Linked DNA regions of Elephas maximus indicus. The protein of the gene in region 2 purifies or fractionates together with the protein of the main gene of each other region. This does not show direct contact. Links are inferred from orthologs where the notes say so. Each region holds a gene or a part of one and is shown on either strand. Other genes may lie near its edges.

What was found. The genes of interacting proteins can lie anywhere in the genome.
Region 1: the proteins of RPRD1B (region 2) and POLR2G purify together in Homo sapiens (affinity purification with mass spectrometry; 3 studies listed by BioGRID and IntAct, counting the BioPlex papers as one, with this or other methods). This does not show direct contact. The link is inferred for Elephas maximus indicus from reciprocal best matches to the Homo sapiens genes RPRD1B and POLR2G.

Annotation. Positions count from the first base shown.
Region 1 is NC_064825.1:125,918,414-125,925,886, forward strand, and holds the start of POLR2G (DNA-directed RNA polymerase II subunit RPB7), read left to right. Parts: upstream 1-4,456; 5' UTR 4,457-4,543; coding exon 4,544-4,555; intron 4,556-4,689; coding exon 4,690-4,799; intron 4,800-5,734; coding exon 5,735-5,894; intron 5,895-6,635; coding exon 6,636-6,686; intron 6,687-6,802; coding exon 6,803-6,868; intron 6,869-6,981; coding exon 6,982-7,053; intron 7,054-7,253; coding exon 7,254-7,287; intron 7,288-7,473. UniProt on the Homo sapiens protein: Core component of RNA polymerase II (Pol II), a DNA-dependent RNA polymerase which synthesizes mRNA precursors and many functional non-coding RNAs using the four ribonucleoside triphosphates as substrates.
Region 2 is NC_064843.1:31,483,656-31,490,809, forward strand, and holds the start of RPRD1B (regulation of nuclear pre-mRNA domain-containing protein 1B), read right to left. Parts: upstream 3,016-7,154; 5' UTR 2,614-3,015; coding exon 2,463-2,613; intron 1-2,462. UniProt on the Homo sapiens protein: Interacts with phosphorylated C-terminal heptapeptide repeat domain (CTD) of the largest RNA polymerase II subunit POLR2A, and participates in dephosphorylation of the CTD by RPAP2. Transcriptional regulator which enhances expression of CCND1.

The DNA of each region.
Region 1 (7,473 bases), on a different chromosome or scaffold from region 2:
GCACAGGCTGTTTGGGAAGCATAAGCAATCATGTTTCTACAGGTTCAGAAGTGATCAGAATGAAGAGGAGGCTGAGGTTGGGCACAAGGACTGTATGCTTGGTACTCTGGGGTGGCTATTATGCTGGACCTAGATATTTTATAAAGATTACAGTTCTCTTAACCAGGTCCTGCTCTGGCACATACTGCTACCTCTGTACAAATTAGAAAAAGACATTTCTTCTGATCCATACAGTCTATTGGCCTAAGCCAAGTGTACACTAGATTTGTGTGCCTCTCACCCCCAAGAAGGAGTCCCTGGGTGATGCAAATGGCTAAGTGCTTGTCTTAGGCTTAGGTTTTCTAGAGAAGCAAAACCAGTGAAGCGTATCTATATATCTATATCTGTATCTATATAGGAAACCCTGGTGGTGTAGTGGTTAAGTGCTATGGCTGCTAATCAACAGGTTGGCAGTTCAAATCTGCCAGGCGCTCCTTGGAAACTCTATGGGGGCAGTTCTATTCTGTCCTATAGGGTCGCTATGAGTTGGAATCGACTTGACAGCACTGGGTTTGGTTTTGGTTTGGGTATCAATATATATGGAGAGAGAGATTTATATCAAGGAAATGGCTTATGTGGCTGTAGAGGTTAGAAAGTCCTAAGTCCATGGGTTAGGCTGGAAGCTTCTCCTGACTCATGTGACTGCAGGGGCTGGCAAACTCAAGATCGGCAGGTCAGACAGCAGGCTGCTGGCTCACAGGCTGCGAAGGCTGATAAATTCCAAGACTGGCAGGTAAACTGCTAGCTCAAGTCCCAAGAACCAGATGTTAGATGAACAGGAGTCAGCTGCGTGATCCAGCATGAGCAAAAGCCAGCGAGCTTTGCCAGAAAGTCTACATATATTGGATGCAGGCCACACCCCCAAGGAAACTCCGTCTCAACTGATTGCTCATAGCAGATCTCATCAAGGAGGTAATTATGTTACATCAGCTCTCATTATGGAGGTGATTACATCATTACATAGTTACCCAACAACATCATAACTGCGAACCACTGAGAATCATGGCCCAGCCAAGTTGACACACAACCTTAACCATCACAGTGCTCAACTACTATCTGAAAGGTTGGTGATTTGAACCCCCCCAGAGGCACTTTGGAAGACAGGCCTGGTAATCTGCTTCTGAAAGGTCACAGTCTTAAAAAACCCTATGGAGTACAGTTCTACTCTGTATACATGGGGTTGCCCTGTGTCAGAATTTACTCTCTGGCAACTAACAACAGTAACACCCCCAGAGGACCTGTTAAACAGTGTACAATTTGGTGGTTTTTCTTCTCAAAACTGGGGTACACGCACCTCCACCCTGAGGGAAACAGAGCCACAGGGTACCATGACACATTTCTCTAGAGTATGATTCAGTCAAATATTTTTTGAATAAAAGCTTTTGTGGGGTGGGGGGGATGTTTAAAACTAGCATCGATAGATTATGTCACGAGAAAATTTGAAATTTAAACTTCATACTTACAGCAGCCTCCTTATAATTCCAAAACTCCTCCCAGGACAAAGTTGAAAAAGTTTTGCTTCTAAGAGTCTGTGTATTAGTAGAAGTTAGAAAAGTATCTACTACTTAGTACTTTAGTGCTAAGTAGGAGCTCTGGTGGCACAATGGTTAAGTGCTCGGCTGCTAACTGAAAGGTCAGCTTTCGAATCCACCAGCAGCTCCTAGGGAGAAAGATGTGGTAGTCTACCCCCAAAGGTTACAGCTTCGGAAACCCTATGGGGCAGTTCTACTCTGTCCTATAGGGTTGCTATGAGTCAGAATCAACTGGACAGCAACGGGTTAAGTGCTAGGCAATATGCTAAAGATTTAATCTTCTCTAATTCCATAATTGTCCTTCTTTCTTATCTCCATCAGACAGAAGAGACTGAGGCTCCACCCAGTTAAGTAACTTGCCCAGGGTCACACAGCTAATAAGAGGCAGAGCTGAGACTGAGATGTGGGTTTATCTATATTCAAAGCAACACCCCTAACCACTCTATAGATTTGTCTTCCTGGAGTCTCCCCAAGGTGGCCCTCATGGTTGTTGGAATAGGACTAGGATTTAGTTGGGTGCAGGATTATTTTAGCTGTTGGAAGATCTGGCAAAACAGAAGGAGGAGCCCAGAACCAGGAAGAAGGGCAGAGGATGTGTAACGAGGGATATCATTGCTGATGTCAGATGGATCTTGGCTGAAAGCAGAGAATACCAGAAAGTTTACTTGTGTTTTATTGACCATGTAAAAGCATTTGACTGTATGGATCATAAATTATGGATAACACTGCGAAGAATGGGAATTCCAGAATGCTTTATTGTGCTCATATGGAACCTGTACATAGACCAAGAGGTAGTCATTCGAGTAGAACAAAGGGACACTGCATGGTTTAAAATCAAGCTGTATGATAAGCAAATAAGCCAAGAAACTGGAGTATATGAAAAAGAATGTGGCATCAGGGTTGGAGAAACACTCACTAACAACCTGCAATATGCACATGACACAACCTTGCCTGGTGAAAGCCAACAGAATGTGAAGCACGTACTGATGAAGACCAAAGACTACAGCTTTCAGTATGGATTACATCTCAACATAAAGAAAACAAAAGTCCTCACAACTGAACCAATAAACAAAATCATGATAAATGGAGAAAAGATTGAAGTTGTCAAGGATTTCATTTTACTTGGATCCACAATCAATGCCCATGGAAACAGCAGTCAAGAAATCAAATGATGTATTGCACTGGGCAAATCTGCTCCAAAAGACCTTTTTCAAAAAAGTGTTAAAAAGCAAAGATGTCATTTCAAGGACTAAGGTGCACCTGGCCCATGCCATGGTATTTTCAATCTCCTCATATGCATGTGAAAACTGGACAATGAATAAGGAAGACGGAAGAAGAATTGATGCCTTTGAATTATGGTGTTGGTGAAAAATATTGACTATACCATGGACTGCCAGAGGAATGAACAAATCTGTCTTGGAAGACGTACAGCCAGAATGCTCATTTGAAACAAGGATGGCGAGGCTTCATCTCACATACTTTGGACATGTTATCAGGAGGTACCAGTCCCTGAAGAAGCACATAACAAAATGGAGGGTCAGTGAAAGAGAGGAATACCCTCAGTGAGATGGATTGACAAAGTGGCTGGAATAATGGGCTGAAACAGCAATGATTTTGAGAATGGTGCAGGACTTGGCAGTGTTTTGCTCTGTTGTACATGGGGTCACTATGAGTTGGAACCTACTCCATGGCACCTAACAACAACGACAGCCCATCACCTAGTTTCCATAATTATCAATATATTGCCAAACTTGATCCATTTATACCTCTACATTTCCTTTTTAATATAACTTATTTATTATGTGTTGCCATTGAGTAGATTCCGACTCATAGCGACCCTGTAGAACAGAGTAAAACTGCCCTATAGGGTTTCCAAGGCTGTAATCTTTAAGGTAGCTGACTGCCCCATCATTCTTCCCAGGAGCTGCTGTTGAGTTCTAGCCGCAGACCTTTCGCTTCGCAGTCAAGCGCTTTAACCCCTGCGCCACCAGACCAGACCAGACCAGACCCAGTGCCGTCGAGTCAATTCCAACTCATAGCGACCCTACAGGACAGAGTAGAACTGCCCCATAGGGTTTCCAAGGAGCGCCTGGGGGATTATTAGTAATTTAAATAATCTAATTTTTAATGATGGCTGCATTTTACTATATGGGATTGCTGTATAGATTAAATAAGAGCTACTAAATGTGAAAGCAATGTTCAAATATTTGCTGAATGAACTCTGCTAAGACGCTTTACTTGCATAGACTTTCACTAATTAACGCATTTAATAATAATAAAAAAAAAAACTTATTGAGCATCTATTACAGGCCAAACCCGCTGCCTTCGGTTGGATTCCGACTCATAGTGACCCTATAGGACAAAGTAGAACTGCCCTTTAGAGTTTCCAAGGATCGGCTGGTGGATTTGAATTGCTTACCTTTTGGTTAGCAGCGGAGCTCTTAACCACTGCGCCACCTGGGCTCCCCCAGGGCTCCCCATTATAGGCAGTAAAAAACCCCAAACCTGTTGTTGTGGGTGGAGTCAATTCCGACTCATAGCGACCCAACAGGACAGAGTAGCACTGCTCCCTAGGGTGTTAAGGAGAGACAGGTGAATCCGAACTGTCGACCTTTTGGTTAGCAGTGGACCTCTTAACTACTGTGCCACCAAGGCTCCTCATTATATGCCAAGCCAAGGCCAGGCACTGTTAATTTATGGAGGTCCGGCAGTTCGTCGTTACGAGTCAGAACCGACTCCACAGCAACGGGCTTTTCGGCTTATGGCCCCTTTTCGGTTGGTGGGCGGGGCGGGGGCGGAGCTTCAGGGATCCTCTCCCCCCCCGCCGACTGCGAAGCCCAATCGGATCCACGGAGTGACCAAGTCCCGCCCACCTCGCCCCGCAGCCCGGAAGCGAGGCTGGGGGGGCAGTGTGTGCGTTTCCGGTGACTCGGGGTGGCCGGTACCACTGCCGTTGGAGACGGAGCTATAAGATGTTCTACCACGTGAGCAGGGCGCGGGGTGGGGGCGTGGATTGGGTCGGGAGGAGGGCCAAGGCTGGGCGCGGGGGGCCCGGGCCGGCTTCTCACCCCGTATCCCCACCGCAGCTTTCTGTGTCACCATCCCACTTTCCCCCCAGATCTCCCTGGAGCACGAGATCTTGCTGCACCCGCGCTACTTCGGCCCCAACCTGCTCAACACGGTGAAGCAGAAGCTGTTCACCGAGGTAGAGGGGACCTGCACGGGGAAGTGAGTGTCCCAACCTTCGCGCCGCCTGATTGCCTCCCGCACTGTGCCCTGTGTTTGTAACCCCTGCTCATCTCCAGCAACGTCCTGCCTCCCACTCTGGAAAGCCCTCTCACCCTCCCAGGCGTCCCAGGCAGTCAGTTGCCTCCTGGTTTGGGTTCACGGCACTCCCTGCAAAGGTGGATAACAGAACTTGCAGAGTTCAGCTGAGATGGGTCATTTATTTCCCAATTTCTTCAGCTGCTGCTGGTTGCCAGGCCCAGTGACTGAGACAGACTGAGGCTGGCTCTCATGGAGCTCACAGTCCAGTCATCCTTCCTGTATCTATTCCCTCTCTGTAATTCTGCAGGTTTTCCCTCCCTCCCATGCCTAGGGACTTGTCATGGCACATGTTTGGCCTCAGTAGATGTTTGTTGAGTGAATGAGTATCCAGAAAAAGCAGAGTGAGAGTTTGGGGGAGGAAGGAGAGGGCTGGAACTTGTCCATCCTTGGGCTCTGCACAGAGGGGCCTCTTAGAAGGTGATGTGAATGAGCTGGGATGGAGCCCAGGGCAGTGGAGTACTTGGGCCTTCATCATGAGAATAATCTCGGGTGCTTCTTGAACATCCAGGTTCCTAAGGCTCAATCTGGGCCCTACAGAATCAAGACTCTCTGGGGGCAGACCTGGGAGTTTAACAAGTCCCTCTCAGGTGATGCTGAGGCATCCCAAAGTTTGAGGTCGGTTGGCTAAAGGACTACATTTTGCTTGGGCATTTATCATGAAATCCAAGAGACTTACAGATTCTGTCCAGTCTTCCCTACTAGTCCTTAATCTCTCTGGGGACAGGGGTGGTGTCTACTTCCACTTTGTGCCCCACCCTTCCCTGGGCTCCATGACCTGTTTGCAGGTGGCTTTGGATGCTCTTCCACACACAGTCCCTTTCTCATCCTCTTTGCAGGTACGGCTTTGTAATTGCTGTCACCACTATTGACAATATTGGTGCTGGTGTGATCCAGCCAGGCCGAGGCTTTGTCCTTTACCCTGTTAAGTACAAGGCCATTGTGTTCCGCCCCTTTAAAGGGGAGGTCGTGGATGCCGTGGTCACTCAGGTCAACAAGGTGAGATCGCGCATTGGGGAGGCAGTGGGCTGGTCCCTCAGAAGATCTGAGTTGGGTGCTGACTCCACTTACACACTCTGTGTCCTTGGCTAAGCCATTTCACTTCTTTTTGCTTCAGTTTTCTCATCCATCAAATGAAATGGCAATCTTACACTGCCTCATTTGGGGGCGTGTGAGTCAATATTAACACTTTATTACAATAGTGGCTTACGTTGATTGAGTAGTTACTGGGGGCTGGTAAAGTGCAAAGCCTTGTCCTGACCCTGTAAGGGAGATGTTTTTATCCACCCACCCCCCCCTTTTTATAGAAGCTGTCTTAGGGAAGCTAAGTGTTCTGGCCAAAGTCACATGACCAGCAAGTGGCAGTTTGGTACATTTCCACCCCAGATATACTGAATCAGAATCTACATTTTAACAAGATCCCCGGGTGATTGTTACATACAACTTCCTGGGAGCTTGTTTAGAAATGCATGTTACCAGCAGGGGTTCGAACCAGACCTAACTGGTTCAAAGCTCTGGTTCAAATCCAGGACTGACAAGGCCCACCCAGGCCTAAGTTCTTTATTACTACACTATATTTGTTTAATTTAAAGTGACAGATTAAAAAAAAGAAATGAAAAGAGATGCTACAATTTAGAATGATTTAAAAACATGAATATTATTAAGAATTAGATAAAGACAGGAACCTTAAGAGACTTTGGGGAACAAAATAAGAAGCAAGACCGCTCATTTCGCTTTTAGGTCGGACTCTTCACAGAAATTGGACCCATGTCCTGCTTCATCTCTCGACATGTAAGTCTAGGCTCTTGGTGGAGGGTGGAGGGGGGTTAAGGAGGAGAGACATCTGTTCATGACTATCTATTGGAGCTTTTGTTTACACTGCTGACCCAGCCTGACCTTCTTTTCAGTCCATCCCATCAGAGATGGAGTTTGATCCTAACTCAAACCCACCGTGTTACAAGACAGTGGATGAGGTGAGTGGGTAGGTAGAGGCCGGTGAAAGAAGAGAGGCAAGAAGGAGCTACCCTGAGGGAGGGTATTGGCCTGGGGGTGGTGGCCGGAGTACACTGTTCTACCCTCTCTCCAGGACATTGTGATTCAGCAGGATGATGAGATCCGTCTGAAGATTGTGGGGACCCGTGTGGACAAGAATGACATAGTGAGTCTCTTGCCTGCCTCCCCGCCTGTACTGGGCAGAGCTGGGAGCTGTTGATTTCTTACCATCCAGAATGCCTGGGGTTTCTGGGCTCTTCTGCCAGGAAGAGAGGATGATGGGTGGGCAGAAGGCCTGGGGCTGGGAGGTAGGGGTGGGCTTTTGCTCTCCTTGGCTTCATTTCCATTTTACCTCCCCTCTTGCAGTTTGCTATTGGCTCCCTGATGGATGATTACCTGGGTAAGTGCCTGAGCTTGCATGCCGGGGCTGTTGCCTGAAAAGGGGTGTGGGGCCTGGGGAGGATATGGGGCTAATGCCTGAGTCACAGACATAGCAGCTTTCATGCTGTGTGCCCCTTCGAATGGGAAGTACACAGATGGGGCCCCCCAAGCTTGGGGCCCACTGATGTGCCTTTCCTGTTTTTAC
Region 2 (7,154 bases):
ATGCTCATTCCAAATTGGTTGAACTAGTTGTTGAGCAAAGTATAAACAACTGGCTGACCAAAAATTTTCACTTGGGTGGTTGTTTTGACATCTAAAGAAAGTTTTACGGTAATTTTGGAAAAAAGCCTATGTATCTGCATTCAGGCTAGGATACAAAAACACCATTAAAATATGTTCATCTAAGACCATTCTGCACCAAACTACTTCATGAAGAACAAGAGACATTCGACTTAGAACTGAGCCCAAAGGAATAAATTAAGAATTCTTCCTAGGAAACTGGAAAGAAAGTAACACATCAGGAATAGAAGGCGCGTTTAAGTGAGAAACAGTGATTTCTGGAAGTCTGGTAAATATTTTGAAAGCAACTCAGAGTCAGTCAGTGAAAAACTTACATAAAGAAAATGACCATAAACAGAAATGTCCACTTCTTAAAGAATCAGGGTGGCCTAGAATCTAAAAGGCCAGTCAGTTTGAACATTAGAACAGAAAATCCTTTTCCACTTTAGTGTGAGGGCATTTTCAATTCACAAAGCAAGCCTGCGTATTAGGAAGTTGCATCTTGATGCCTGGATGGAGCTTCCTCTAGTTCTGCACTGTCCAATATGGTAGCCACAAGCCACATGTGGCTATTTGAGATGGACTGAAATGCTACCTAACACGATCCTGCTGAGGCAATACACGTTTGCCACATCTCAGCACAAGTTACATGAAGGAGGCTCTGGCAGCCCCAGGCTCTACCCCAGTGCCCAGAGGGCTGAGGGGATCCCGTACAGGCCATGATATTCTGGAGTCTCTGCTAGTAGGCTAGAACTGAGTCTGCTGGGGCCGGGGAGGCTCCAAAATTTGGGTTTTGGAGCTTGCCAACCTGACATAGTCTCACCAGCTCTAAGGCCTCGGAAATACCACTTAGCCACTCTGAGCTTCAGTTTCCTCATCTGTAAAGTGGGGAGATACCCTCCACCTCACAGGTAGTAGAGAACACAGGTAAAGTCACTTTCTCTGCTGTCTAGGCTGTCCAGTATAACTCTTAAGCGCCCGTACCATCTCCTCATCCTTCTGTTATGGCACTCACTGGGGTATCAGAGGTGTAGGTGTCCACCTTTCCCCACCAACTGTAAGCAACTTAAGACGAGGACTCTGCCTCACACTGAATAATCAACAGTCCCATCTCACCACAATTAACCAAATGCCTTCACTGTGTCTGACACCACACTAAATGCTCATCTGGATTATTTTGTTTACCGCTCACCACAAGTTGTTGTTTCAGCATCAGTTTTTCCTCATCTGCAAAGATCCTACTTTATTTAAAAAAAAAAAAAACAAACATTGCCACGGAGTCGATTCCAACTCATAGCAACCCTACAGGACTGAGTAGAACCACTCCAAAGGGTTTCCAAGGAGAGGATGGTAGATTCAAACTGCCTGCCTTTTTGGTTAGCAACCATAGCTCTTAACCACTGCGCCACCAAGCCACTTCCTACTTCATAACCCATCGCCGTCAAGTTGATTTCAACTCATTGGGACCATACAGGACAGAGAAGAACTGCCCCATAGGTTTCCAAGGAGTGGCTGGTAGATTTGAACTGCCAACCTTTTGGTTAACAGCCTAATCCTTAACCACTGTGCCACCAGGGCTCCTCCTACTTCATAGGACTCTGAGAATTAAGGAAACAGAGAGACAAGGAGGGTTAAGTTATTCGTATTAGTAAGTGGCAAAGCCAGGCTTAGATTCCAAGCTCTTAGGCTGTGGGGCTAACATACCGTCAAGTGCCCAACCCAGTACTAGGCTGAGCTCAGTGATCTTGAGCAGGGTCTGGAAACTATGGCAGCTGCATGAAAGGAGGGTCCTGAGAGGTAAGGGCTAGTGATGTGGCCCCTTAAACTCTCTAAAATGCTGTTCTGAGGACTGAGCACAAGGACATATATAAAGATCTTAGCATAGTGGCTGGCACAGAATAAAGGCTCTGTAAGTCACAGCTAAGCTTGCCTCCGTTTTATGGATGAGGAAATGAAGGCAAAGAGAGCCCAACATCACTCAGCTAGCAAGTGGTTGGGCCAGGCTCCATCTAGGCAGCTTGACTCCTGAGCCTGCCGACTGTTACTCTGAATGCCCAGCACAGAACCTGGCATATTTAACAGGCTGGCGCCAGTACCCTCCATCGGGCGCTGAAGGCAGCCGAGAAAGTAACATTTAAAAGTGTGAAGAAAATTCTGCGGGGGGAAAGGCTTAATGAACTGGGAGTCTGGGTAGCTGGGCCCTGGTCAGTGGGACCTCGGACAAATGCCTTACACTTTCCTGGGCCTCAGTTTCCCTCTCCGAGAAATGGGGATAACACTATCTCCAGCCTCAGAAGCCCGTGTCTGGAAGGCAAGACTCAATTAAGCAGTAGAGGAGCCTAGGGAGAAGGTGGGGGAGAGAACAATCCGGGATTGAGCCAAGGGGGCGGGGAAGGGGTGTTTACCTTTGCGGAGCTCGCGGTGCCACACCGAGACGATGGGCCCCGCGTGCTTGCGGTGGTGAATGAGCCACAGGGACAGGGTCTGCACGCTCTGCTGAGAGTTGCTCAGCTCCGAGAGCTTCTTCTCTAGAGCTGACTCGGAGAAGGAGGACATGGCGGCGACGGTGAGGGCCGGCAGGGAGCGGCCTGGGCCGCCCAGTGCGGCAGGAAGAGCGACGGCACGAGGCCGAGGCCTCACCTGACAGACTGCCGGACTCTTTACTGACTGACAGATGACTCGGGTGGTAGGTGGGAGGAGGGGATGGGTCACCGCAGTAACAGCCGCCCGCGCAGCCGCCACAAGATGGCCACCCGACCTCTCACCCCGCCGCGAGAGCAGGGTCAAGGGGCAAGAGCCGGAGTAGTTGGGCACCCAGAGGCGTCCGGAGCTGTAGAGAAAAGTCTTTCCAGGACCGGCAGCCTCTCCGAACGTTGCTCAGGGCACTTCGAAGGCGATAAACCCGGCGAGAGGAATCTGTTTCTCGGCTCCCGGAAGGCGCTGTAACCGCTCGCGCCCGTACGCCGGCGCACTGAGTACCGCCGGAACCCTGTCTCCCGCGCCCGCGGAACCTTTCTAGCGCTGTGCGGCGCATTCGTTATAACGTCACTTCCGTCGGGGCGGAGGAGGAGGGAGAGTAAGGGAAAGACTAGAAGACGAGGTAAGGGAAGAGGGGCGAGAGCCGCTGGGAGCCCAGCCGAGTGGGTTCCGGAGAGGGGCCTTGTGGGGACACCAAGGCTGAGGGATCATGGCCTAGGTATGGAGGGAGGGTTTCTTCTTTCACCCGCCAAGCCCCAGGCCGCACTTTCTCTCTGTACATGTCCAGCACTGTGACCGCCGCTTAAAAAGCTTTGATTCCTCCAAGCCACGCACGTGCGCTTTCACCCTTCCGCGCCTCGGCTTTTGTTTTTCTCTCTCCAAAGGTGACGCCGTCTTTCTCACCTACTCAGCCGCCAGGACCCACTCTTTAATGTCCGATTCTGTCCCTTTGTGACAGCACTGCCATGAAACACACCTTGTGCTCTCGACTTCTAATTGGTTGCTTCGTTTAGGCAGTTACAGGAAACCTTTGCCCACTGGGGTTCACCATCCAATTGACGTTTTTCAGCTTTAATATGTTAACCTTTGGTGGGGAAGGGAAATTATCTTACCTTCCCGCTGTGTCTGTCAGCCTCCTTTAAGAAACACTCTTCAAGAATTCTTACTCAATTTTTTTAAAGCTTTAAATTCCAGTGAAAGCAGCAAAGTAGTTTGTCTTTGTAATTACTCTGGGGGAGTAGAGAGGTTACTGCCTTAGTTATCTAGTGCTGCCATAACAGAAATACCGCAAGTAGATGACTTTAACAAGCAAATTTATTCTCTCACAATTCAGGAGGCTAGAAGTCTGAATTCAGGGCACCAACTCCAGGTTGGAAGGCTTTCTGTCTGTCAGCTCTGGGGTAAGGTCCTTGTCATCAATCTTCCTTTGGTGTAGGAGCGTCTTAGCACAAGGAACCCCAGTCCAAAGGACGTGCTTTGCTCCTAGCTCATCTTTCTTGATGGTAATGAGGTCCCTCTCTGCTCAATTCTCTCTTTTATATCTCAAAAGATTGACTCCAGATATAACCTAATCATGTAGATTGTGTCCTGCCTGGTTGACATAACTTCCTCCAATCCTATAGAGGTTAGGATTTACAACACATAGGATAATTACATCAGATCACAAAATGGAAGACAACCACATAATACAGGGACTCATAGCTTCGCTAAGTTGACACACATTTTGGGGGGACAAAATTCAATCTATAACAGTTATCATAGACATAGCAGAATTTTAAGGTTTTCCTTTTTTTTTAATTGTGTTTTAGATGAAGATTTAAGAACAAACTAGCTTCTTATTAAACAGTACACATGTTGTTTTGTGACATTCACTTACAACCCCACCACACCCTCTCTTTTCAACCTTGGGTTCCCTATTGTTACCTCCTGCCTTCTAATCGTTACCTCTGGGCTGGTGTGCCCCTTTGGTCTCGTTTTGTTTTATGGGCCTGTCTAATCTTTGACTGAAGGGTGAACCTCAGGAGTGACTTCGTTACTGACCTAAAAGGGTGTCCAGGTGCCATACTCTCAGGTTAAGGTTTTCTTGATCACCGTGGAACTTCACAGTTGTGGGCAGACCGCAGTTTAGGAGACTTTCTTCTAGTTGGTGCCTCTGTTTTTTGCTCTTACTGTCACTGTATTGTAGTTCTTTGCTTAAATGCCTTTATCCCTTTTCCATACTAAACATGTTGCTGTCGAGTTGATTCTGACTCAGTGACCTATAGGACAGAGTAGAACTGCCACTTAGGGTTTCCAGCCTGTAATTTTTTTTTTGTCCTTTAGATGAAGGCTTACAAAACAAATAAGTTTCTCATTAGACAGTACACATACTGTTTTATGACATTGGTTAACAACCCCACGACATGTTAACACTCTCCCTTCTCAACCTTAGGTTCCTTGTTACCAGGTTTCCTGTCCCCTCCTGCCTTTTAGTCCTTGCCCCTGGGCTGGTGTGCCCCTTTAGTCTTGTTTTGTTTTTATGGGCCTGTCCAATCTTTGGCAGAAGGGTGAATGTCAAGAATGTCTTCATTACTGAGCTGAGTTGAAAGCATGTCTGGGGGCCATACACTCAGGGTTTCTCCAGTCTCTGTCAGGCCAGTAAGTTTGGTCTTTCTTTTTGAGTTAAAATTTTATTCTATATTTTTCTCCAGCTCTGTTCGGGACCCTCTCTTGTGATCCCTGTCGGAGCAGTTAGTGACGGTAGCTGGGCACCATCTAGTTGTACTGGCCTCAGTCTAGTGGAGGCTGTGGTAGTTGTAGTCCCTTAGTCCTCTGGACTAATCTTTCCCTTGTTCCTTTAGTTTTCTTCATTCTTCCTTGCTCCGGAAGGGGTGAGACCAGTAGAATATCCTAAATGTTACAAGCCTGTAATCTTTATGGAAGCAGATTGCCGCATCTTTCTCCCACGGAGCAGCTGGTACATTCGAACCACCAACCCTTGGGTTATAGCAGCTGAGCTCGTAACCACTGCTCCACCAGGACTTTTTCTCCGGATTAGAATCATCATAATCGTACCTAACACTTAGTGAGCGCTTGCTGTGTGCCAGACACTGTGTTTACACATAGTAACTCATTTAATTCTCACAGTAAAGCTCTGAGGTAGGTATTGTATTATCCCCATTTTAAGTGACCTGCCCAAAATCACATAACTAAGATTTGAGGGTAGGGACTGCATTTTATCGATCCCTTTGTCCCCAGCACTTGAGTCATAGCTGATTGAATGAATTAATATAGAAGTGGGTAGCCTAAAATCAGACAGTAACTAGTCATAATTGTAAGCTAGGATTTTTGAATCCAAATCTATACACGATTCTATACTGTAACAATCACGTATTGAGAGCTTTTACACCAAGTCACTGTGTATTAAGTACATTACGTATATTTAATCCTTATAGCCTATAGGATGGGGTTATTATTTGATAAATGAGAAAACATAAAGCGTGGTTAAGTAACCCATCCGAGAGTACACAGCTAGGAAATGGCAGAGCCAAGAGTCAGATTAAGATTATCTGATGTGTGATCCCAGATTCTTCATTCCTGAGCCACTGGTTCATTCATTCATTCAGCAAATAAATTTTGAGCACCTATGTCTGAATCGGAAACCCTGGTGGCATAGTGGTTAAGTGCTACAGCTGCTAACCAAAGGTTTGTCAGTTCAAATCCACCAGGCGCTCCTTGGAAACCGTATGGGGCAATTCTACTCTGCCCTTTAGGGTCATTATGAGTTTGAATTGACTCAAAGCAGTGGGATTGGTTTTGGTTTAGAGGTGCATCAGAAGAAAGGCCTGTTGCTCTACTTTTGAAAAATCAACGATTGAAAACCCTATACAGCACAGTTCTACTCTGACACACGTGAGTTGCCATGAGTCCGAACTGACAGCAACTGGTACTGATAATAGTTAATATGGTTATTCAGGTATTCCATCTCATATTGTGTGAGTTATAGTAATTTGTATTTTTCAAGGAGTTTGCCCATTTGCTCTGTCTCTTAGTGGTCGGTTATGTGTATAAAGTTATTTATAGTATTCCCTTATCTTTTAGACATCTGGAAATGTCTTGATTTCCTCTTCATTTCTGATGAACATTTTTGCTGGGTATAGAATTCTGGATTGACAGTTTTTTTTTTTTTTGTTTAAGTACCTGAAAAATATTGTGCCACTTCCCTCTGGCCTAAATGATTTCTAATGATAAAAGTACTGTCATTCAAATTGTTTTGCCCCTATTAGATGTCATTTTTTTCTGGCTGCTTTCAGGACTTTGTCTTTAGTTTTCAGAAATTTAATTATGAAGTGTATTGATAGTGATTTCTGGGAGTTTATCCTGTTTGGGGCTCACAAATCTTCATGAATCTATAGGTTTACATCTCTTTCCAAATTTGGGAAGCTTTCAGCCATTTTTTCTTCAAGTACTTTTCTCAGCCAGCCTTCTTTTCTGCTCTGAGAACTCTTAGATCTTTCATTTGAGCCTCACGGGTCTTCGAGACTCTGCGTTTGTTTGGCTTTTCAGTTTATGTTTTCTGTCATGTTCAGATTGGGCAATCTCTATTGTTCTGTCTTCCAGTTCACTGATCCCTTCCACCG